4 linked regions of the Arabidopsis thaliana genome follow. The protein of the gene in region 1 interacts with the protein of each later gene in a pairwise test. Each region holds a gene or a part of one and is shown on either strand. Other genes may lie near its edges.

Region 1 (6,159 bases):
TCTCTATCAAGTTAAAATGGCACTAAGAATTGTTTTTGTGTTTATGGATCATATAGACATTGAACCGTATGTTCATTATCAACGCTGGTAGTGGATTCAGGCTTCTGTGGAGCACTGTGAAATCTTTCCTTGACCCAAAGACCACCGCAAAGATTCACGTAAGCTTTTTTTCTGTTTTGTGTCACTTCAAAGATCCAAACTTTAAGGTCTACGGTTGTCCGAAATCTCATGTCCCTCATGTACAGGTTCTTGGCAACAAATACCAAAGCAAGCTGCTTGAGATTATCGACTCCAAGTAAGAGAGTAACAGAGCTCCATAACTCTGCATTTTAGCTGCAAATTCGTAATCTGAAAACTATCTGTTCTTTATTTGTGTTTAGTGAACTTCCTGAGTTCTTGGGTGGTAACTGCACTTGTGCAGACAAAGGTGGATGTATGCGTTCTGACAAAGGTCCATGGAACGACCCTGACATCTTCAAGGTAATTTGTAGGATAAGTAGAGAATCTTCGAAAACCGTTTAACGAAACGATGAACTGAGAAGCTGAATCTTGAACTATATACAGATGGTTCAGAACGGAGAAGGAAAGTGCCCAAGGAAGACTTTGTCAAACATTGAAGAGAAGACAATCTCAGTGGACGAGAACACAACAATGGTAAAAGCAAAATACAAAAATATCTTTGATCTTTAAAATTTACAGTAATATCTAACATTCTCATATTTTTGCTTGAAGAAATCTGATTCCTTTGCGGTGAGTTTCTCTCTTTTGTCAATAATAAAGGTTACTTCTTTAGCTCTCTCTTTCTCTGTATGACTGATTTTGAAAATCCTATTGGCAGAAGAACAAATTCGATGCAGAGAACACAAAATTCATACCGATGATTGACAAAACTGTGAATGCTTCTACATGGCCTACAAATCTCCACAAGTCAAACTATCCTGAACCTGAAGGTACACTACATTGAAACATTGACACTACACTAAATTTATTCGTGTTTTCACGTTTTGAAAACATGATTCTTTTTTTTATTACCATTCCAAACATTCATCATAGTTTCATGTCTTTGAAAAGAGATTCTGCTATTATACTATACCGCTACACTCTTCAACAAGAATACCACTTATTACCTAAATGTGTTCTTGCCGTCGCAGATTTATACTCTGCCGTGAAGCCATCGCAGAGGAGAGGAGGAGAAGGTTATTTATTCGGGGGAGTGATGTCTTTGGTGATGGGGTTAATGACTGTGGTGAGGCTAACGAAGAACATGCCAAGGAAGCTCACTGAGGCTGCCATTTACGGTGGTGAAGTGGACAAAGCAGAGACTACAATGGTGTCAAACCAAGAGTATATGTCGATGGTGAAGAGAATGGCCGAGTTGGAGGAGAAATGTAGGTCTTTGGACAATCAGCCTGCAGCGTTCTCGCCAGAGAAAGAACAGATTCTCACCGCTGCTCTCAGCCGTGTCGACGAGCTAGAGCTTCAGTTGGCTCAGACCAAAAAGGTACAAAGTTAAACAGCCTCCATAACTAGTTTCTTATTTTAGAGTTTAGAAGTTTGAATTTAGACTATTTTGTTCATTTATAAAAGTTAAAAGCTATTTTAATTCTTTTGATCTAAAATTTAGACCATTTTCATAATCCTGTTATAAATCAATTTTATTTTGTTGAAAATTCAGACGCTGGAGGAAACCATGGCAACGCAGCATGTGATAATGGCTTATATCGACAAGAAGAAAAAGAAGAAGAAGGTAACAACAAACTAACACATTTTAAAACACTCTTTTTCAAGATTTATTCGTACTTGATTTTGTTTACGTATTTATATGTTTTTTTTGTTTTTGTTTTCAGTTCTTTGGATTCTGAAAGACTTGATAATGCCTCAAGACTTTGAAGAAACCTGGAAAAATATATATAAATCCATATTTATTATATATATAAACATAAATATTATTCGTGAAGAGTTTTTACAGATAAAAATGTGGGAAATTTTCTTTCTGTAAATGTTTTGTTGTTTGTCCCTCTGGAAATATCTGAAAGCTTATGTTTACCACTTATCAATTCTTTCACACCTAATTTGTAACGTACCAAAAACAAAAATATATATGTTATAATATTATATAAAAAGCTATTGTTCATATATATATAAATCAACAATGTTGTAAAACAACTTAGAATTTCAACAAAAACCGGTTAATTGCAAGCAAAGATAAGCAATTCTCGGGTTTTGTGTTACTCTGTAGTTGGTTTCTCTATGGATTCTTCACTATCTTGGAGCTTGAAAACACGGAAAATTGCTAGATTTGTATCTCCTGCAAGTCACACAAAGAGTTTAACCTCATTGATCGGTCCATCACATTCACAGAGAGAGAGATGGAAAATCATGCGAAAAGATTGGTGTACCAAAGGTGATTCGTGTTCCGGGAAAGGCAGGAGCAGCAACACCAGGAATTAGACGTTTGTCTTCGATGAATGTACCGTTGGTGCTGTTCATATCCGTCACAAGAAGGTTCTTTTCATTCGTATTGATTGTCGCATGGACTCCTGACACTGAGGTTAAAAGACTAGGAGTGTTGGATTCTGATCCAAACTAAAGCAATAAACCATCTACAATCGAAAATCTAGTACCGAATCCGAACCTAAACCCGAAACCAAAACTATATCAAATTGATTCATATTAAAACCAAATTCACTTTGATTACAAATTCAAGAAAACCGAAAACCACAAGAACAGAGAAATACCGGTGGCAACAGGAATCACGACGTCAGCCTTTTCCGGTAGCCGTCCGATGGTAACTTGGCCCTGCTCAATACCCATTTTTGTGATCTTAGCAAAAACTAAAAACTCATCAAAATCAATCAATCTAGTGGAATGTATAGTTTCTTACAGAGGAGATCTCAAAAGGAGCAGGCATTGCCACTTTGTAACCAATGTGTCTTGTGTCTCCATCGCCTATAAGTTTTCAGGCAAAAAGACTTTCAAGACTCAAAAAGATTAAAGAAGCTCATTGATATTAAACCTAGAGAAACAAAAAAATAGCCTCTGACCAACTGGTTTGAGAAGCCACCGTTCTCCTCCGGAAGTTGGGGATTGATTCTCATCCAAGGAGGCGCGTGTTGTTCTCACCACCGGTGCATGACTTCTTGGTTTCTTCGCAATGAAGCTAATATTACTGATCTGCTCATTCTCTCTCAAGCAGTTTACTGAAACAGCTCCATTTAGGTTGTTTCTATTACTGTTTCCATAGAAACAGAAAAGTGATGATGATGATGATGATGATGAAAACTTAACTCGAGAGCACAATTGGGATATTGTTATCTCCATTTTCTCTTCATAAAAACTGATTGATCTTACAAAAACAAAATATGAAGTAAAGAAAAATGCAAAAACTTTTGAGATACGTTAAGAGATAATCACTATATGGGATATGTGGCTACAATATCTTGTATCTGGATAAAAACAAAATCCTAAAAAAAAACAGAATCCTGATTAATAATTTCGATACTCTTTTTTCGTTTTGCATTAACAAGTTTACAGTTACAGATTTTTTTATGATTATAAAAATAAAACATATAATATAAAGTGGCTCATAATCACAGAAGGAAACAGAGCTCTCTGTATTAGCTTTAACATCAAATCAGATATAAGAGTTTTTGTTTTGTTTTGTTGTTTATACTTAAGAACAGCGAATTACGAAAGAGGGAGATTTTGATGCCTGGTGCTGGTTTTTCTTGGCTTTGCTTCAGAAGCAAAAGAGATGTTTCTTCTTCTTCTTCTTCATCTTCTGGAACTGAGCTTCTTCTTGACGATCAATGTAAGCAAGTAACTCTTCCTGTCTCATCAAAGCTTCGTAAAGGGCCTTTTTAGTAGCTATGAGCTCTGCTTCAAGTGCGTCTACTCTGCAGACGGCTGCGTTTAACAGTTCTTCTTTCTCGTATGGCATCTCATTTGGCTTTGATTGGAGCGTTCCGATTTTACCTTCCAGCTCTGTCAGTTTCTTCGTCACACAGTTTAGTAGATCAGTTTCCGTGAGGTCTGGTACAGGAGAAGGAGGACGACACTCCTCTTTAACTCCTTCACCGTTAGAACCAAGTTCTATTGCGTTTCCTTGGGTTTCTGCTGGGGAAGAAGTAGTAGTCGCTGGAAGTTTCTTTGTTACAGTGCGGAAGAATGTGAAAACCGCCATCAAGAATGCCATGAACATTACTAGGACTCGAGCCTTGATGCCTTCATGATCTTTTGGAACGGTGGGAGACATTAAAGCTCCTGAAGGAAACAGATAAGAGTTAAGATCACCAAACAAAGAAAGACCAAAAAAACTCTGTTTTTATAACCAACTCCAAAACAATCCTAATAAGAAAATAAATCCTATGTAAACAAGGATTAGGTTAAATTCTTTTCCTTCAGTATTTGGTTCTAAACCGGAGCCTACTGGTACGTAAAGCATATAGCAGCTAACTAACTAACCTCTTGAGGCAACTCTCTGGATGGCGGGTTTCACCTTCCAGGTGGCGTCAACGGCTTTGTCCACCATAGGTACATACTCGTCATAACCCGGAAAACTACCAGCCAAGCTTGTTTCACCAGCTATCTTTGCCTGCAAAGCCTCAGGATAAACATCTACTACTTCCCCAACTAGAAGATAGAAAGAAAGAGAAAAAAGTTACCTCCTCACGAACAGGTGTCAAGCGGAGATGAGAGAAACTCTTTATAGCCTTCGGAGAACCGATATCTTCAGCGTCAGATCCTGACTCTGCAGTGGATGTGTCACTTCCCTTTATCTATGTTTATGACAGAGCAGAGTTTAGGCACAATATGGTCAGCCACAAGTTAAAGATTGACTAGTTATAGGATTTAATAACTACGTACCCATGTATATGAAGGTTTTGCATAAGCAATGACTTTCCCTTCGCTGTTCAACACTTTCACCACCTGCCTCGCTCGATGTGCTCCTCCATGAAGCACCATCTGAAATAATGAGAAGAAAACCAAATGTCTCAGATTCCAACTTGGATGATACAAATAGAATCCAAAAAGAGATTAGTCTAAGTAAATGACCTTCACAATTTCCGGGTTTTTCCAAGGTCCCTTGTCAGAAAGCATGCAACCGCCTTGATCTGCGCAAGTACATGCACCTCCCAAGAACTCAGGCAACTCGCTATAAAAAAGTGCAGACCATTTTGAACATAAGCAAAAACAAAAAAACGTGCAGCTTTCGATAGAACAGATCAAATAAGGGTGGGTCAAGGTTCACATACTTGACATCAATGACTTCAAGCAATTTGCTTAGATACTTGTATCCGAGTACCTACATAAACAATAGAATAGTCCATATTGAATTCTATATAATCAAAGACAAGACTTTTAAATAGAGATATAACTTAGATCTCTCATACATGAATTTTAGCAGATGTCTTAGGGTCAAGAAAGCTCTTGACAGTGTTCCAGAGTAGCCTAAATCCAGGCCCTGCATTGATAATAAACATTTGGTGGAGAGTCTGCATGAAATACCACAAAGCCAAGATTAGCATTTGATACCTGAGATCAAGTATTAGAAGCTCCAATTAACTAATACCTCAGGATAATTGTCTCCATCAATCTTTTGTAATCGTGTGATAAGATCTCGAGCAGACTTGTTAAAGTTTTTCAATCCCTGAATATGAAGTTATATAAACACATGAGAAAAAAACTCATTTCACAACTAATATCATGAACTGTAGAAAATACTTACCACTCCTTGAACATCAAGAATAGTTGTACTTGAATCAATATGCCTCTTTGCAGAAATAGTGCAGGAAGGAAACTTGATCATAAAGCTCCTCTCAAACTCCTTTACATGATATCTTACATATCGATCCATGCTTGTAACTTGCATGAGTCTGTTAGGATCAACTTTCCCTAGCCTTTCAATGTAAATAGGTCTACCTTCTTTGTCAACACCGTGATAACATTGTGGGTAATGTTTCAAAACTTCATTAATCTCTTCGAAATCAAAATCCTAACGAGAGAAATAAAACGTTACAAAAACAGACAACAATGGTTTAAACTACTATCTTCTATTTAATAGCATACCTGAATAATAGTGTCAGTACCAAACTCTTTCCTCCATTGAATCATATCAGCCCACATTTGTTTAGCTTTCTCAACATCAAATTTCCTCGC
Region 2 (5,432 bases), on another chromosome or scaffold:
CATCTCTCTATCTCCAAAATCCCTCATGGCGACAAATCGGTTCTTTTGTGAAATTTGTAACAAGGGGTTTCAGAGAGAACAGAACCTTCAGCTCCACAAAAGAGGCCACAACCTGCCATGGAAGCTGAAGCAGAAAACGAACAAGAATCAGGTGAAGAAGAAAGTTTATATATGCCCTGAGAAGAGTTGCGTCCATCATGATCCAGCTCGAGCCCTAGGAGACCTTACTGGAATAAAGAAGCACTTTAGCAGGAAACATGGAGAGAAGAAGTGGAAATGCGATAAGTGTTCCAAGAAGTATGCTGTGATATCCGATTGGAAAGCTCATAACAAGATTTGTGGTAGCAGAGAGTTTAGATGTGATTGTGGTACTCTTTTCTCCAGGTCATTACTACTCTTTCTACGTCTTCGTCTGCAGCATTATCGTTTGCCTTAACATGTTCATATATCAAACATTTTTAAAAATTGTAACAACGGAAAAAACGTTTTCAAATCTTCAGGTTTGCATTTATTTGAAGTGTTTGATAAAAATATAAATATAAACGTAAAACACAAAACATATTTGAATTATATTTGAAACAAACCGGGTCTTATAATTGGACATCGAAACAGATGCATGCATACATAAAAGCATGATATTGCCTATGCTAGAAAAATAAAAAGTTATTGAGTTTACTTTATGTATAGCGAGTACGTTGGTCTTTGGCTCGTAGCTTGTCATTTGGATACCACTACCGTTAATTATTTCTTGGCTTCTCTGTGTCTTGGTCCAGTTTGTAGTTTTATAGAGACACCAATATCGAGGAGAAAAAAGGCTGCATGACTAGGACATGATGTGGTCATGTCTCCATAGCCTTGAGTCTTTTTTTTTTCACCTTACTACACATATCGATTATAAGCTTGCATCGAATAAAGAGTTGCATATATACCATATACAAGAAGACCTATTTTAATTTAATTTATATGTTACCAATTAGCCTATATTAACATAGTTACTTTATTGAATGATTTGGTTGATTGTACCAGGAAGGACAGTTTCATCTCACATAGATCCTTCTGTGATGTCTTAGCTGAAGAAAGTTCTAAATTCTTCTCAGTTCCTTCACCATTAGCCGCCAATTCGACCATCGCCACTGTCACTGATACCAACAATCCAATTCTCATTCAATCACAATTGGATCAATCTTCCACAGGTACGGCCGATCTTAACGTCAACAACAATCACACCACCCTATTTGGACAAAAGTTCACCAACTCCAACCCAACCCAACAACAACCCAATGCTTTGGCGTTGTCCTCACCACCATCACCTCGTAGTACATCTGATTCGGTTCATAATCTATGGAAGTTACAAGAAGAGGAATGTGCACACCAGTGGTTACTCAATGAATATATGAACAATAACAAAAACATATTCCATAAGGGAATATTCAAGAATCAAGAAGATGAGATAAAGAAGGGAAATATCTACAGCGGCTCAAACCCAACCGATGGAAACATAGCATCCTTGTTCTCGTATAATCAAGAAGCAGTGAATATGGCTTCATTTTCGGCAACAACATTGCTTCAAAAGGTAGCTCAAACGGGAACACCATCAAGCTCCGAAACTAGCACCACCATGTTTGGGCAAATGACTTCCTCCATCTTCAACAATACGATGCTAAACTCCTATTGTTTAACGGCGAAGAATAATGAAGAAGAGTTGACCAGAGACTTTCTTGGTGTGGGAAGTAGTGAGGACCAACAACGTCTACATCGTCATCGCTTCCCATCAAGCGTGCCATTGACGGCGAACCATGATATTCCCAAGTTGGCCGCAACCATTGTAGGCAGGAAGCAACCATAGACATGGCGTCATCTGATTCTGAAATTACTCGTTTTTGTTGACATGCAAGGTAATTAAAGATAGAAAAACTATCTCCACAAGTTCTTTAGAAAAACTATAGAACAAAAACCTGAAGCGATAATTTGTTTACAAAATAATATGTACGTGGAAGTGTATTGTTTAAATCTAAAAATTTTATTTATATATTTTCTCTCATTGGAGACAACGTATGGGATGGGAGCTAGATGCGAGACAACCATCCACAACAATAGGAGAAAAGCGTAGATCACGAGAGAATTTCTGAGTCAACTCGATTTAGTAGACCAGGTTAACTCGGTTGACAAAGATTGAAAGTTATTTGGCCCCACGTGCCACCATGCATAGAGAAACCTAACCATGGATCATGCATGAAATTCGAAATCTCTTTTCTTGCAGAAACGTAAGGTTTTTATCCTCCCCCCCAAAAAAAAAGAAACGTAAGGTTTTTATATAATTCTTAAGCGTTTTCAGATTTGATTAATCATGACTGAAAACACGCATCTCATTCTTCTTGTCTTTTTAAAAAGTTTCCAAACTAATGCTAAATAATAGGATTATTTACTAATCCAAATTGCAATCAACAATGTTATTTATATAAACCTATTGGACAAAATCTCTCCCTTTATGTCATTGACAACATTTCCAGAAACAGAGTATAAACGCACTAGTGAGTGAAATAAGAATCAGACATGAGCTCGTTATCAAAACCAAACAGACAATTTTTGTCACCAACAACAAACAACCAAGACACCGGCAGAGAACAAACAATCGCCTGCGCCCGAGATATGGTTGTCTTGTACAACGAGTGCCTTAAAAACCACGCGGTCAGTCTCGGAGGCCACGCTCTTGACGGCTGCGGTGAGTTCACACCAAAGTCAACCACCATCCTCACGGACCCTCCGTCCCTTAGGTGCGATGCTTGTGGCTGCCATCGCAACTTCCACCGTCGTAGTCCTTCTGACGGCTTCAGTCAGCACCGGTCACCACCGTCTCCGTTACAGCTGCAGCCACTCGCCCCTGTTCCGAACTTGCTTCTCTCTCTTAGCTCCGGTTTCTTTGGACCCTCGGATCAAGAAGTCAAGAACAAATTTACGGTGGAAAGGGATGTTAGGAAGACTGCGATGATTAAGAAACATAAGAGGACGAAATTCACGGCGGAGCAGAAGGTGAAGATGAGAGGTTTCGCGGAGAGAGCGGGGTGGAAGATTAACGGCTGGGATGAGAAGTGGGTGAGAGAGTTTTGTAGTGAAGTTGGAATAGAGAGAAAAGTTCTTAAGGTTTGGATCCACAACAATAAGTACTTTAACAACGGGAGGAGCAGAGACACGACGTCCTCTATGTCTTTGAATTTGAAGTTGTAGATCTCTTTACAGTGATGGGTCTTCATCTTCTTGAGATAAGGAAAAACCGAAACAAAAAGAGGTTACGGTAGTCTCTGATCCGACCGGAATGTCACGTCAGAAATATAAATTATCTAAGTTTTTTTAAAATTAAAAATTATTATCCTAGAAGACTTGTCATTTTGGGCATAACTTGTAACGATGGATCATGACTCATGACATGTATATGGATATGTATTCGAGTGATATTAAGGGTATTTACTCTCTCTTTTTTGTTTATATTTATATATAAGTAAGTATATAGTGTAACAATGCTGTAAATAATAATTCATGAGTGAGTAACTAAGAAAATTGAAATATATAGGTAACTGGTTAATATATAGGAGGAAATCAGTACCTAGTTTTTTTTCTTTCTCTACAGTACTAATCCTAGTTTAAGGAGTAAAAGGTGAAAACAGGATGTAGTCTCTATATAGATACTTCCTACTTGACACGGCTACTTTAACTAGTGACATTGAGAAACACAATAACACTCCTTTTGAATACAAGATGTGACCCATTCTCGTTGACACTACAAACGAATCTCCTGAACTTTAAAGGCAAGTAGATTTTAACTAATAAGATACGTGATTAGGATATTATATGTACATCCATTTAAGGATAAAGCTTCGGTAACAGCCCTCATATAATTGTCCTAAATAAGGATAATGCAATTGTATCTATACACTATATTGTCCTAATACATATATCTTTCCGTAAAGAGTTGGCTCTTCACACACATCTTGAACGAAGCATCTGATGGTCTTTATTCCTTGTCATCAGAAGCTTCTTATTGGGGTGATATTTAATGGAAGATTCTTTGACGAAGGAGGAGTCGTCACCTATATGCTGTTTCAAGTTTCAAATTCCAAATTATAAAGAGATTCGTTTTGTTGAATAATTATTAAATTGATCGACTGGACTTCCATTTTCCCAGATTTGCAATCATGCATGTGGCAAACCAATTTAATTCTTTGACTTAAATTAAAATGAAGAACGAATTTGTTGCTATAGTTGTAGGATGGTTTTTAAAAAAATAAATGTATTATCAATTTATACTAACGCTAGATTAAACTTTATAGTATTGGATTTTGTATTTGATCAGTAGATCAGAATTTTTATTGCAAAAGACATATATATGAATGGGTGAAATACAAAATAATTCCATACAAATGAATGTGATTTTTTATTTGAAAAAATATTAATTGGATGCTATTTCATCAGAATTTTTATTGCAAAAGACATATATATGAATTTTTAATCATTTTTATTGCAAAAGACATTTATAAAATATCACACTGTTTCTAATGAAATAGCATCCAATTATTTATTTTTCAAATAAAAAATCACATTCATTTTATGCAATTAATTCGGCTATCTATCTAGATGATATATAGTTTTATGTTTCGCTAACCTATACGATCGATCATTATTATTTAAGCAACTGGATCTTGTTGAAAGAAATGTGAAAATAGGATCAAAGGAAAAACCGAAAAAGCAAAGATAAACGAGATATTAACAAAAACACAATTCTCACTCGCACGAAAACGGAAAATATGATTTGTATTAATAAAAATAAACGAAAATATAAAAAACAAATGGATTGATTAACACAAAATCGTATGAAAACCAAGACACAAATATATCCCCAAAATCACCCACATGGCAGAAAATCATGAGTAATAAAAAATAACAATTTATCAGCACAAAAAAAAAAAAAGCTTTTCATCACAAATAAAACCATGCGAGCATTACACTCATGACGCAAAACGACACCGCATCACACACAGAACCAACATTACGCAAAGCAAACGAAGCATCCGCCGGAGAATCATCACTGGAACTATCACTGTCATCCTTCTTCTTCTTTGATTTCGATACAGACGGAGCCGGAGCCGGAGCAGGAGGACGAGGATCGAAAACTTGTTGTGGAAGCAAAACCTTATCGACCTGATAAACAGCGAGCTGTCCATCGCTGTAGACATTGCCGGAGACGGTGGTGTTGGTTACGCCGGACGTGATATTTACGGTATTGCCACTGGTGGTAACGTTGAGAGGAAAATGTCCATCGGCGGAGTCACCGGCCTGAGTCCGGAGAGGGTTACTTATTGTTTGGAAGTTTGAGGAAGAGACGTAACTTGGTATGACATGAAACTGAATAAGCTCTACTTGTTGCTCATCGGTTAACG
Region 3 (5,984 bases), on another chromosome or scaffold:
AGAATAGAATAGAAAGTACATATAGAAAATAAAAGTAAGAGACATTAAGAGAGAGAGGGAGAGAGGGAGAGAGGGAGAGAGGGAGAGAGGGAGGGAGGGAGAGAGAGAGAAAGAGAGAGGGAGAGAGGGAGAGAGAGAGAGAAAGAGAGAGAGGGAGAGAGGGAAGGAGAGAGGGAAGGAGAGAGGGAGAGAGGAAGGAGGCAAAATTGTGAATAATACATAAAATATAGAGAATATGATTTTAGCATTTTAAAATTGTAGAAACAACAAAAAAATTAGAATAAAATGAAAAAATATATAAAAAAGAGAGTGAATTAATTGAAAACACCAGAACTAGTATTTTAAGAATGTTCATAATTCATATTAAAAAATATGATAAATAGTTTTCTGCAAATCGGATTCCATCAATAATTTGTGATTAGTAAAACGACTAAAATTTACATCACAAAATTATTTCAGTATATTCCACTAAAATTAATTTATAGCGGAAATTAGGTCATCTATGTTTCCAAAAAATAATTATATAAATTAAAATAAGAAGTAGGAATTTTGTTAGCAATAGTTACGTCAGGAATAATTCAAATTAGTAAGTGGTGCACTGTGCACATGGTATATGGCAGTTAGGGCCATAACCTCACCCTGTGTTAAAGTTTGTCCCTACCACGAAAAAGAGATTTGTGACTTCACGAAATCTGTAAAATAATAGCAAATATATATTAATTTGTTTATTAGCATAAATTTAACAAATTCTATTTGGTGATAACGTAAAATATATATATATATATATAATGTATAGATCTTTACCAAAATCTCTCTCCATATATATTGAACCAACCCTTAGTTTTGACCCAAAAACCCCTTAATTAGTAAAACTTATTAAAAACGTAAACCATTTTTCTTAAGTAAAAACTTGAACCTCAGATTTTTTCGATAAATTTCTGTAATCAAGTGAATTATCACTGTTTAGATTTTTATTCTATTACAACATCATTCAACAAATAATTTGATTTTCTAAAACCATAATGATAATATAATCCAAAATTTTCTTTTTTTATAAAACATAATTAATAGTACTACCTATTTAGTATTTACAAACGAATGCACAACAAACAATTCTATTGTAATATAAAATTCATTGCATATATTCATTCATAGGTCAAATTTAATTGACAATTCACATAGAAACCCAGATATTCTATCTACATTATATTATACATCTTTAGATAGTTTTATCCATAAATCTAGCTAATTAGACAAAACGTATTCTCTAAGAATTAAATCCTAGACACCAAAAGCATACTACATAACATATTTTGTGCTTTCTCATGCAATATTCTAATCTAATTACAGTTTTATTAATATTTTATGTTTGGTAAGCCGACATTTATTAATCACGACTAGTATCTAATTGTCTTAAGCCTATCGCATAATCACGGCTGCATTTCTACGTTTCCCAGTTAGAAAGTTATTTAAATTATTCGTAAAGTTAATGATTAGTTCCACGCCCTAAATTAACACTATATAGCACTTTAATAATAATAGTTAGATCCCAATTATATAATATATACTTATTTGTAGTTTGCACTTTAAGAATATCGAACACTTGAGCATATATACCAAAAACGGATAGTGGGAATGTAAGGATGATAAAGAAATGGATTAATGAGGAAATTAAAATGAATTATCCGATGAATCTTTTGTTAATTAGACACCAAGATAACTAATCATTGCAAAATATATTATTAGAATAATTAATATATAAAACAAAACCTGTCTCTTTTCTCAAAGAATAAAGAGAGATTTATGAAAAGGACACCTAGATCTTAGTTTGATCGCATATTAAATTAAGCGACAAAGTACTCTTCAAGATAAGAAACCATCAAATAATATTAAATAATTAACTAAATTGCAATAGTTTATTTATGTTTGGGACTCACATTTTAGGGTTCGTTTGATTACCTAAATTGACCTATAGTGTTGTGACTAATTCGGGTGATTAGTTCATATAATCTTTCCATTAGTGGAAAAGTATTATGAAACCTTTGGGAACGTTACAATTTAAAAAGACAAAATGCTTTTAAGATAAGAAGCCAAAAAACATATTATTAAAAAAAACATTAAAGTTATAAAATTTTCCTCATTAGGGTTCATTAAATTAACCAAAATTGACTTATTATAACATAATCCAATTTGTTGATATAAACTTACTTTAAATGGAAAAATAAGACAACGTCGTGGTAATGAAATTATAATAAAATTGGAAAATTAAAAAAGAGCTAAAAGAGTTTAATTAATATTAATAAAACGTATTAACGATAATAATACCAGTGCTTACTCTCTATGATCTAAAGCTAAAAACAAAGCTTAAGCTTCCATTATTATAACTCTTTCCCTGCAAAACGACATGATGTTTTCTTCTTCACGACGAAGACGACGAGGCGTTTACGTTTCCGCCACCATCAGCTCCTCCACTATCACTCTCAAATCTCCCACCACCACCGTCACCGTCGTTAGCTAAACCGCGAACTCCATCATCGTTACTGTTCTCGCCGCCGATACCGTTATCGTTTCTCTGCACGGTGGTTGCTCCTCCGCCGGAGAATTTGAAGGAGTTTTTGTTATTATGCATCCAAACTTTGAGAACACCTTTATCAACTCCGATCTCACGGCAAAAATCACGAACTTCGTCTTCGTCACGTTTCTGAATCTTCCAACCGATTCGATCGGCGAATTCATGCATCTTCTCTTTCTGATTTGAGCTAAACTTCGTCCTGAATCGCTTCCTCGAGCCAGGCGTGGCGGAGAGATGGTTAGCCGCGGCGGCGAAGTTTAGATCTGAGAACGGTGCGGTTTTATTATTACCGGAGAGAGCTAAAAGCATGTAGGAGGAAGAGATAGGCGGCGGAGAAGATGAATTAGGACTACGTGGTAACGGAGGAGCTAGCGGAGGAGGAGGATGATGACGGTGATGAGGCTGATACTCAATTGCGGCGGTTGTTGTTGAAGATGGAAGAAGAGACGGTGGTGGAACGGCGGAGGAATCGTCAGTTTCACGGCGGTGGAAGTTACGGTGACAACCACAAGCTGCACACTTGAGAGAAGTTGGATCGGAAGGTGTTGACGAAGGAGACGGCATAAATTCGCCGCAACCGTCAAGCGCGTGACCACCAATCGCCGCCGCGTGGTTCTTGAGACATTCTTTGTAAGTGACTTTGTTGTTGTTGTGGTGGTGGTGGTGGTGGCGTTTGATGATTCCGTTACTGAAAGAGATTGGTTTAGCTGGTTGGATCCGGGTCGGAGTTTCGGATTCGGGTTCTGGTGATTTTGGAGTCATATCCATTGATCTAACTTCAAGCATCTTTATGTTTTTATTTTCTTGAAAAAAATCAAGAAAATATTAGGGTTTATGTTAAGCTTACAAAAAAAGAAAAGTTTGATATTGAGAAATGAAGAAGAAGATGGATAAAAAGAGATTAAATCAACTTTTGAAGATCATGTTTTTTGTAATAAGTTTAAGAAAATAAACTTTAGAGGAAGAAGATGTGTTATAAGATGATGATAGTGAATCTGCTCTGGTTGATGAATGTTGCTAAGAGAGAATAAAATAATTTAATAGGGAGAGATATAAAAATGTTAATAAATGTGAATAATAAATATATTTAAAATAAAAGGACAGAGCTTGAAGATGTTTAACAGAGAAAGGTAGGGTTTGATGATTTAACTATGGTTAAATGTATGGTTAAAAGTGGGACCTGTAATAGGGAGTGGGGAAATATATATAGAGTAATAAATGTCTTAAACCTAAAGACAGTCCAATTATAATTAATATTCTCATGCATTGTGACACTTCTTGTTTTTTTTTGAAGTTGGCTTCTTTTTACTTTATTCTAATATTTGTTCCTTCTGTTAAAATATGTTTAGCATTTTGTATATTTGACTATTACAATGTAATTACCGAACAACTTTGTAAAAGTTTACTTATACTATTAGGTATTATTGTAAACTAAATAGTTGTTTTTCACAAAATAATATTAAAAAAAATACTTATTCTGTTTTGTTGTTTAAAGATTTTTTCCAAAATAAGTATTGTTCTAAATTTTCAATGTAAAATCTATAAAGTATGAATCAGTTTGGTTTTTAAAATATAATATATATTAATAATTTATATAAAAATATTTAAAACGATATTATTATGAATGGAGGAAATATATGTTACCAGCAGGTAACTATATTGAAAAATGAATAATCTCAAATAAATTCAGTGGTTATCATTTGAAGTCATTCAGCCACCTTTAAAATAAATTCAGCCATCATCAGTTAAGGGGTTGATTGGTTCTCCTTCTACTACATGCAAACGCATCATTTACATGTGGTAACAATTGTTAGTGATTGACAATAATCATATAAATCGCGGGATACTGCTCGGATCGCTCGATATCAATACATTTCAAAAACTCCTTCCCGCAAACGTTTGTAGTTGTGGATGGTAGCGGTTGAATTAAAATATTAAAATAATAATAAATAATCAACATATTTGTAATTAAGATAAATATATATAATTCTGTATATATCTTTTCATATTTGTATCTAATCCTATATATTATATTTATTTTGGATCTTTTTTATTTATTTAATTATTATTGCATCTAGTCATAAGATTTCTGCAAATGCATCTATTTTGAAACGTTAAATTAGTCGTTTAAAACGCTTGAAACCACAATATCTCGCTTCCGCAAATTTCCGCAACCGCAAGCGAAACCACAGCCCCGTCCGCTGCAATTAAACCAGTCATGTCTTTAGTCATATGCAGTTAAATTCTTCGGTTACCATAAATAGATCCTATATCAAATTCGGTCTTTTGGGTTTAAAACTAAGACCTAATGTCTAAAAACTACCGTCATTCAAGGTCATAGACTAAAATCTAAATTAGTATCGGAACTTACTAAATATATGTAATTTATATTTATTATTTAAAATATTCAAATTTTGATGATTCTCTGTCATGTGCGGTGGTGTGTACAAACAATCAAGCAAACGCCATGGGCCAAGGCCAATGTGTTCGTACCAAGCGACCATCGCCGAGAAAAACGAAGTCGGTGGCCAAAGTTTCTTCTGGGCGATCACATCAAGAGCATCACAACTTGCTCCTTCTTTCGAACAAGCAAAATACGGCTAAAACCAAAAAAAATAAAGAAAAACATTTCAGAACAAAGCCAATGATGACTAAACCATAGTGATGAGAATAATCACTATACAAATGAATTGGCAAATAAGAAGGTCGTATTGTACGCATGTTTTTGGATTCTGAAATCACAAATTATTTTCCAACGAATGATTGCATCATTGGACCGAGAAATTCAACCTATCGATCGGTAACCAAACACGAAAAATATGATCCTTCGATTTTTTTTTTTAATTATCTCTCAATCGGTTCGTACACCACCATCAAACATCAGTTAAGTGGTACGTGAAATATTAAACCACATATTACGTCCGATATAACAATCTTTGCCTTCTTCGTTTTTTGTCACAAATAAATTATGTGCATCTATGTGTATTTTGAATTTCGTACTACAAATATTTCTGTACATGGATTAGATATACAGATTCGGTGCATAAAAATTATGGTTAATGATGTCTATTATGAGAATAAGATGTATATTATGTTGGGGACTAAGTTTTCTTTATTGTTTTTTTTGTTTGATGATAAAGAATTATTCTATTTTCTTGGTCGAAAGAATGATGGAACCACATTTTTCTAGATCAGGAATCAGATTATCAGAAGAAGATAAAACAATATTTTTTTTTTGTACGTTTATTAGCTATAATGCATTAGTTTCTAACTGTGGCTATTAACTTAGACCGCGAGAGATTAAGAACATATTTTTAGCTGACCCGAACCAAATTAGTGATATACTGTAAAACGATTTTGGACAAGTTTCAGTGGCCCAATGGACTATATTAAATTACTATATTACTCCATC
Region 4 (6,025 bases), on another chromosome or scaffold:
GAGACAGTAAGAAAATTATCGGAAAATAATACTAGAATTCATAGATCAGCAGTAGAGAGAAGAAGAGAGAATCAACAATCTGTAAAAAATTAATAAATGGGAAAAGAAGAAGAAGAAGAGGGAGCGAAGGTAAACTAAAATCTTAACCAACCTGGAGCGAGTACGGGTGCAGCCTTGGACGTGAAAAGATGAGCAGAAGCGTTACTCTCTGTATATTATAAGAAAGTGCCTTTGCCTTCTGATTTTAATATTTAGGGTTTCACACAGAGAATCTCTGTCGGGTTTTATTTTGTCTTAAGGGCCTAAATGGGCTCACTTATTTTAAATTACTCATTAATCTGAAATCCTATTTTTTTTAAAAAAATTAGGGGGTATTATTGGTTTACGATTTATATAAATTTTTAGCGATTTAATGTTATAAAAAATCTTGTGTAATTAAATTAAGATTTTATAAGATTCTGTTAACAGTTAGTGTTATTAGATTTTGATTTATACAAAATAATCTAAAGTCTTCATAAATTTTGAGTTATTAGATTCATAATTTAATAAAGTCATTAAAAATTGATGTTATTAAACTAAAACAAATGAATCTATGATTCTTAATGATTTTAATTATGGTGTTATTGGTTTATGATTTTATACATTTTTTTTTACAAACTAAAATCATGAAAAGTATCAAGAAAAAATAAAGATTGTAAATCATGACCCTGATATTTTAGTTTAATAAAAAAAGACAAAAAGTTAGGATTTTTTTTGTCTTTAGGGCCTAAATAGGCTCACTTATTTTAAATTACTCATTAATCTCAAATCCTATTAAAACAAAAAAATGGAACTTTCACATAAAGATTTCACTTTTCAAAACCAAAACCATAAAAGGAAGTGGAGAAACAGAAACCCTGTTTACTTTACTTGTTGTCAAGAAGAGAAAGCATACCTCTGATCGAATTGGGTTCTCTCATTGACACTAGTTTGTAATTGCGACTGTAATATGAAGGGTGGAATCGAAGCCTGAAACAGATGAGAGAAGAGGCAGGAGGTTTATACCAGTACACAAAAGGGCGTCAAAGGTTTAAGTAAACAAACTGTTCTAAAAGGAACTGCTCATGTGCCGAACTTCCAGGTTTTAGAAAGTAAACTTGAAACAGATGCCAGGAAATTCATACCATAAAGAGTCTTCGTTTGTTCAATAAACCGTTTCCGCTGCAATAAAACCAGAAGAAGCATTGTGACCAATTAAAGCAAAGAGACATGGATCTAAATGAGACTCTAACAAAGCTGCAAAAGGAAAAAACAAAGGTCATCAGACACGGAATAGCCAAATGCAGCAGAATAAGAACCCAACTTACAAAGTACAAGACGGAAATTACTACACAATCAATCACACGTACATAGTTGGCTACTGGATAACCAGTGGAATCAGTCAGTAAAATGATATCAGACTACTCGATTGCATGATTTGAAGTATAAAGCTTAACCTATCTACAATTTTCACGCCAATTCCAACTGTTTATTGAACCATATCCTAGTCATGTCTCGGGAACACCCAAAACCTCTGCAGTTTAATTCGATATATACTGACTCGATTGTAAACTGAGCTAATCGTCTCTTAAATTGACGAATTTACGAAATCTGGAGATAAAAGGAACATGAACAATCGTATTCATCATCCAAACTACAAACAGAATCTCGGCTCTTCGCTCTCAGAATTCGAAATTGGCAAGTAACTCTGCTTTCTCTCCAATGGTTCTCTCCAATATTTCTCTCATCCGTGACAAGACAAGAAGTTCCATCGTTTCATCTCCTCCACCTAATGGGCTTTGTTTCCTTTGTGGGCTTCTTAATGTTTTTTTAAACGCTTTTGTTACTTTATTAAAGATAACAAGACCACAAGTCCACTATTCGTCTAACCGAAAAACATAAAATAAGAGGGCTAATAAAACAAAATATGCAAATAGTTCCCGAGATTAAATTGACATTAATACATACTATATACGTGTGGATCAACCTGAGAATTCAAACAGGTGCATATTCATATACACACGATCCATGTATACAGTAGAGATCTGATGATACAACACGTCCAAGCTAGTAATATGTAATATGTATACATATTAGTTGTTAATTATTCTAGAGATCTAACTAAGAAAAGAAGGTGGGAAAGCAAATTCCACAACCGATCGAAGCTCGTCCGGCCAAGTCTCGTAGGTTTCATGGTGAATGTTATCGTTGGAGAAATGTTGAAACGAATCAACGTGTGTGGTGTCCATGAGAATTGGCTGGTTTTGATGTTGATAAGGCGTTTGCTGAAGCTGGAAAACGCTTCTCTCGTAGTTCCCTTTGCCTTCCCTAACGTTCATCACGTTGGTACTACTACTACTTTCATTGTCCCCAAAATTTATATAAGCTTCTTGGTAATTAGATTGTTGCTGCTTCACACGTTTGCCATTTGCTAATTCTCTCCAGTCCGGAGTGTATTTTCGACTAGACACAGTTCTCTTAAATATCCGGCATAACGTCCATACTTCCTGCAATTATATAGTTAATAAGAACCATCCATGAGCATTCTTTCTCAAACCCTATGTATTTTTGCCATGTGAAGCGTTTATAGTGGCCAACCATGCATGATCATGATCAAGAGATAGCAAACTTACCGCGTGTAGCAAGGAAGTTGGAGTAGGGTTAGAGTGTGTAGGGCCACCGGGGATTGTGTCATTGGCTGTAGGGAGACGAAACTCGTGCATCATCCAATCCGTCTTGTTTCCTTTCCCGGCGCTTCCTAGGTAATAAACGAGTGTCTTCTTTAGACCGATCACGGCTTTGTTGGATCCATCGGAATAGACAGGCTTGTCTATCCCTGTGGCTTTCCAGAAACCGGAACCAGTCACTCGGTTCGGTCTTATGCTGTTTCTGTATTTCCTTCCTCTCTTACAAAAGAAGTAGCTCTCCTTCTCTGTATTCCTCGACCCTTCAAACAAAAATTATGTTTGATCATCAGTTTATAACAATAATTTATGTGTTAATTTTACTTCACAAACATGCATACACGACTTTACTTTTGTTTTTCTCATAAAAGTTAGACCTAATTTTTTTTCTATTTGTGTTTGCATGGTTTGGAGTGCAAAAAACAGAAAAAAGCAAGAGTGAGTAAAACAAACTTACTTGGAAGATCCCACGGATCAAATTTATAGATATCAATTTGGCTGACGATCTCATCAATCTTGCTCGTTTTTTTGAGAAGCACTTTTTTAGAGAGATAATACCCTACAAGCTCCTCATCCGTCGGATGAAACCTAAACCCTGGAAGCTTTAACGCATCCTCATCTTCTGATTCTCTTGTGTTGTCCCGTGGTTCTATCATCTTCTCCATGGCTTTGGTTTCTATTTCTTCCTTTTTGCTCTTTGGACTCACATATAAGAATCTTCTTGAGATTTATATAAAGAGAGTTTGTGTCGTGTGTCTATCTATCATAAGATCGATTTGGTCAAGTCATTTCTGTTGACTTAGTGATCCTTTGTAATCAATGATATATCCGACCCGGTAAAAGTCTTTTGGGCTTGAGTTTTTAGAACGAGTCTTTTCGCATCTATACGTGGACCCAATAAATATGACGCTTTTACCTTTCGCATTATTAGGACGCAAGGAAAACGCTAAGGAGAGGACTGACTTTTTGACACACAAAAATTTAATTTTTGTGTGTTCTCTTCCAAAATGTCTGACGAGTATTCATTGTTACAACATTAACTTCTTCTAGACCCATCATTAATTGTTTGCATATTATATTCTTGACCACCACAAAACATCTACTAATCATCATGACGTTAAACGCATAAATCCGACTTTGTGCTCGTAAAGGTAAGATTTGTATTGCTTCGTTTGGAGATTTTAACTTGGAGTCTTGGAGAGATCAACAAACTAAAAAGAAAAAATATGAATATTGTTACATTTTTTATTTTTCTATTTGGTAATTTCTCCGAAATTGACAATGACAGATCCACCAAATAAAAACCGAATATTACCTGTCAGTTCCTTTCTCACTTCTCCAAAATATTTTACTGGTTATTGTAGTTATTAGTTAAGCTTGGTTTTTGAACTTGAAAGTAATTGGTCTTAATTTAAACTCGTCTCTTGTCCCTTTATTTTAATATCGTTGCAACTGATAACTACAGCTACGGGATGGTTCATAAACCGTCGTTAGTAGCCAACCAATCCCCAGAAGCTTATTAATTCCAAATTATATCTAGATCCAATTAATAATACTGAAACTCATTAACAAACCATACTTTCAAAGATCGGCATATCGGATTTCTTCGTTTATGTTGATCTTACATCTTCATTCGGATTGATATCTCAACAATTAATTATTTTACGTACATATATATCCATTATATATCATAAATTAAAATTATTTCCAAACTACTTCTCTCTGGACAATGAAGCTTATCTTCCACCATCTCACTGGACGACCTTACATTTTTGTAATGCCTTACTTTTTTCTGAAGAATGCAACATGACTTACTATACCACATTTTTTTCTTTTTTAAATATGAGAAAAATCATATTTAATCCGGTGGTAATTGTTGTAACACTATTTGCAAAATCCACGAGGCGAAATTTCGATCAGAGGAGCGTGCTTAAAGCTGTGGAAATATGCTGTCTATTTAAAAGTAGTGGAAATACTAATACTTATAATTATTGTCACCATAATTACCTATTATATTCAGAAACCACAATTTCCACTGCACTGAAAGAGTCTCTCCCATTAATACACTGCTCATTGTCAAAACTCACTCTACGAAAAAACGTTATTCAAGTAATGTTGGTTCTGACTTTTTTGTCCAAATCTTTACCACTTTTTTAGATAAGCTTTTGGTAAAAGTACCCGGTACAAATAGCACAACGAGTAAAATATTTTAAATAAAATCTAAAAGTCACTGATTTCGAATGGTATTTAGAAGAAAATCATACATAATATTTTAATCCTCAATATGATAAAGATGTACATGTCTAGAACTAGAAAATTTATTTTTATTTTAAAAAAAAAAATTAGAGAAGGAATCATTCTCCGGTACAAACATTATCAAATTTCATTGGAATGTTAAAAAGAACTAATACTATCTTAATATTGTTTCATTCTATTAGATATACTTTATATCTTACATTTTCTATATAAATTTAAACGCTTTTAATATTTTGTGATCATTTTTTTATCTTTATTATTATTTTTTTAACTAAAATATTAAATTATTTTTGTAAGTAAAACAAAGTTCTTAATATGTGTGTTTGTAGCCAAAATATTTATAAAATTGGACGTACAGAGAAAATATTAACTAATCTAGTTCTGATGTAAAATAGAAGTAACAAACATAGGGAAGCCATGGAAACGAGAGTAATTTAATACATGAATTCGGTATATAAAAGGGAATTGCTTGAAAGGTAGACATAAAAAAAACAAAAATGAATATAACTCATATAACTTCCCCTATTTATTAATTGTTTCAATTTGTTGGTCAATTCGTAGCGGCTGGTCAAGTCAAAGGATAATTCAACCAGAGTCATCAATGGTTGACCCCAAGTTGTTCTTGTTGGACATCTTCCTCTCAATCTATTATAAACTTTTTTCGGCACTAAAAAAACTCTTATTAATTTGCATGGAGGTGAAAATATTATCGGGGAAAAGTAAACCATAACACCTATATTTATTTTATGCATGTATAGAAACATATTTAACCACACTTTAAGATTTTGGTATACTCTCATGTATGCTCCAAACGCAAGAGAGAGAAAAATTCATGTAACGATTCCATATTTAAACACGTTATTTATATAGAATTATTCGAATTTGTGGTGAGTTAACGAGTTTTAATTGGGCGTGAGTGGAAAACTTTAGACTTTATAAAAATTAAAACAGGAAAACTAAAGAAGGATGCAATGGCACGAGTTTTGAAAATCCGTATAAATCTTACGTCACACTTTTTTTTTTTTCCCACTACGTCATACTGTTTGAAGTACACGATTCATGTCAAT

What was found.
Region 2: the proteins of AT2G21530 (region 1) and HB26 interact in a two-hybrid assay, tested with the Arabidopsis thaliana proteins (one large-scale study listed by BioGRID).
Region 3: the proteins of AT2G21530 (region 1) and HB34 interact in a two-hybrid assay, tested with the Arabidopsis thaliana proteins (one large-scale study listed by BioGRID).
Region 4: the proteins of AT2G21530 (region 1) and AT3G12910 interact in a two-hybrid assay, tested with the Arabidopsis thaliana proteins (one large-scale study listed by BioGRID).

The regions. Positions count from the first base shown.
Region 1 is NC_003071.7:9,216,534-9,222,692, reverse strand, and holds AT2G21530 (SMAD/FHA domain-containing protein), read right to left. Parts: upstream 3,442-6,159; 5' UTR 3,322-3,441; coding exon 3,045-3,321; intron 2,950-3,044; coding exon 2,885-2,949; intron 2,800-2,884; coding exon 2,739-2,799; intron 2,547-2,738; coding exon 2,400-2,546; intron 2,309-2,399; coding exon 2,229-2,308; 3' UTR 2,085-2,228; downstream 1-2,084. Other genes in the region: SFH3 (SEC14-like 3), read left to right, coding at 57-158, 246-295, 381-480, 565-654, 733-750, 839-950, 1,152-1,501, 1,676-1,747 and 1 more; AT2G21520 (Sec14p-like phosphatidylinositol transfer family protein), read right to left, coding at 3,740-4,263, 4,465-4,594, 4,665-4,778, 4,867-4,965, 5,056-5,155, 5,256-5,305, 5,394-5,495, 5,573-5,650 and 2 more.
Region 2 is NC_003076.8:24,320,945-24,326,376, forward strand, and holds HB26 (homeobox protein 26), read left to right. Parts: upstream 1-2,426; 5' UTR 2,427-2,553; coding exon 2,554-3,225; 3' UTR 3,226-3,391; downstream 3,392-5,432. Other genes in the region: AT5G60470 (C2H2 and C2HC zinc fingers superfamily protein), read left to right, coding at 1-384, 1,027-1,846; FLA12 (FASCICLIN-like arabinogalactan-protein 12), read right to left, coding at 4,972-5,432. UniProt on the Arabidopsis thaliana protein: Putative transcription factor.
Region 3 is NC_003074.8:10,938,179-10,944,162, forward strand, and holds HB34 (homeobox protein 34), read right to left. Parts: upstream 3,656-5,984; 5' UTR 3,359-3,655; coding exon 2,420-3,358; 3' UTR 2,127-2,419; downstream 1-2,126. UniProt on the Arabidopsis thaliana protein: Putative transcription factor.
Region 4 is NC_003074.8:4,106,759-4,112,783, reverse strand, and holds AT3G12910 (NAC (No Apical Meristem) domain transcriptional regulator superfamily protein), read right to left. Parts: upstream 3,410-6,025; 5' UTR 3,368-3,409; coding exon 3,160-3,367; intron 2,966-3,159; coding exon 2,652-2,965; intron 2,526-2,651; coding exon 2,136-2,525; 3' UTR 1,935-2,135; downstream 1-1,934.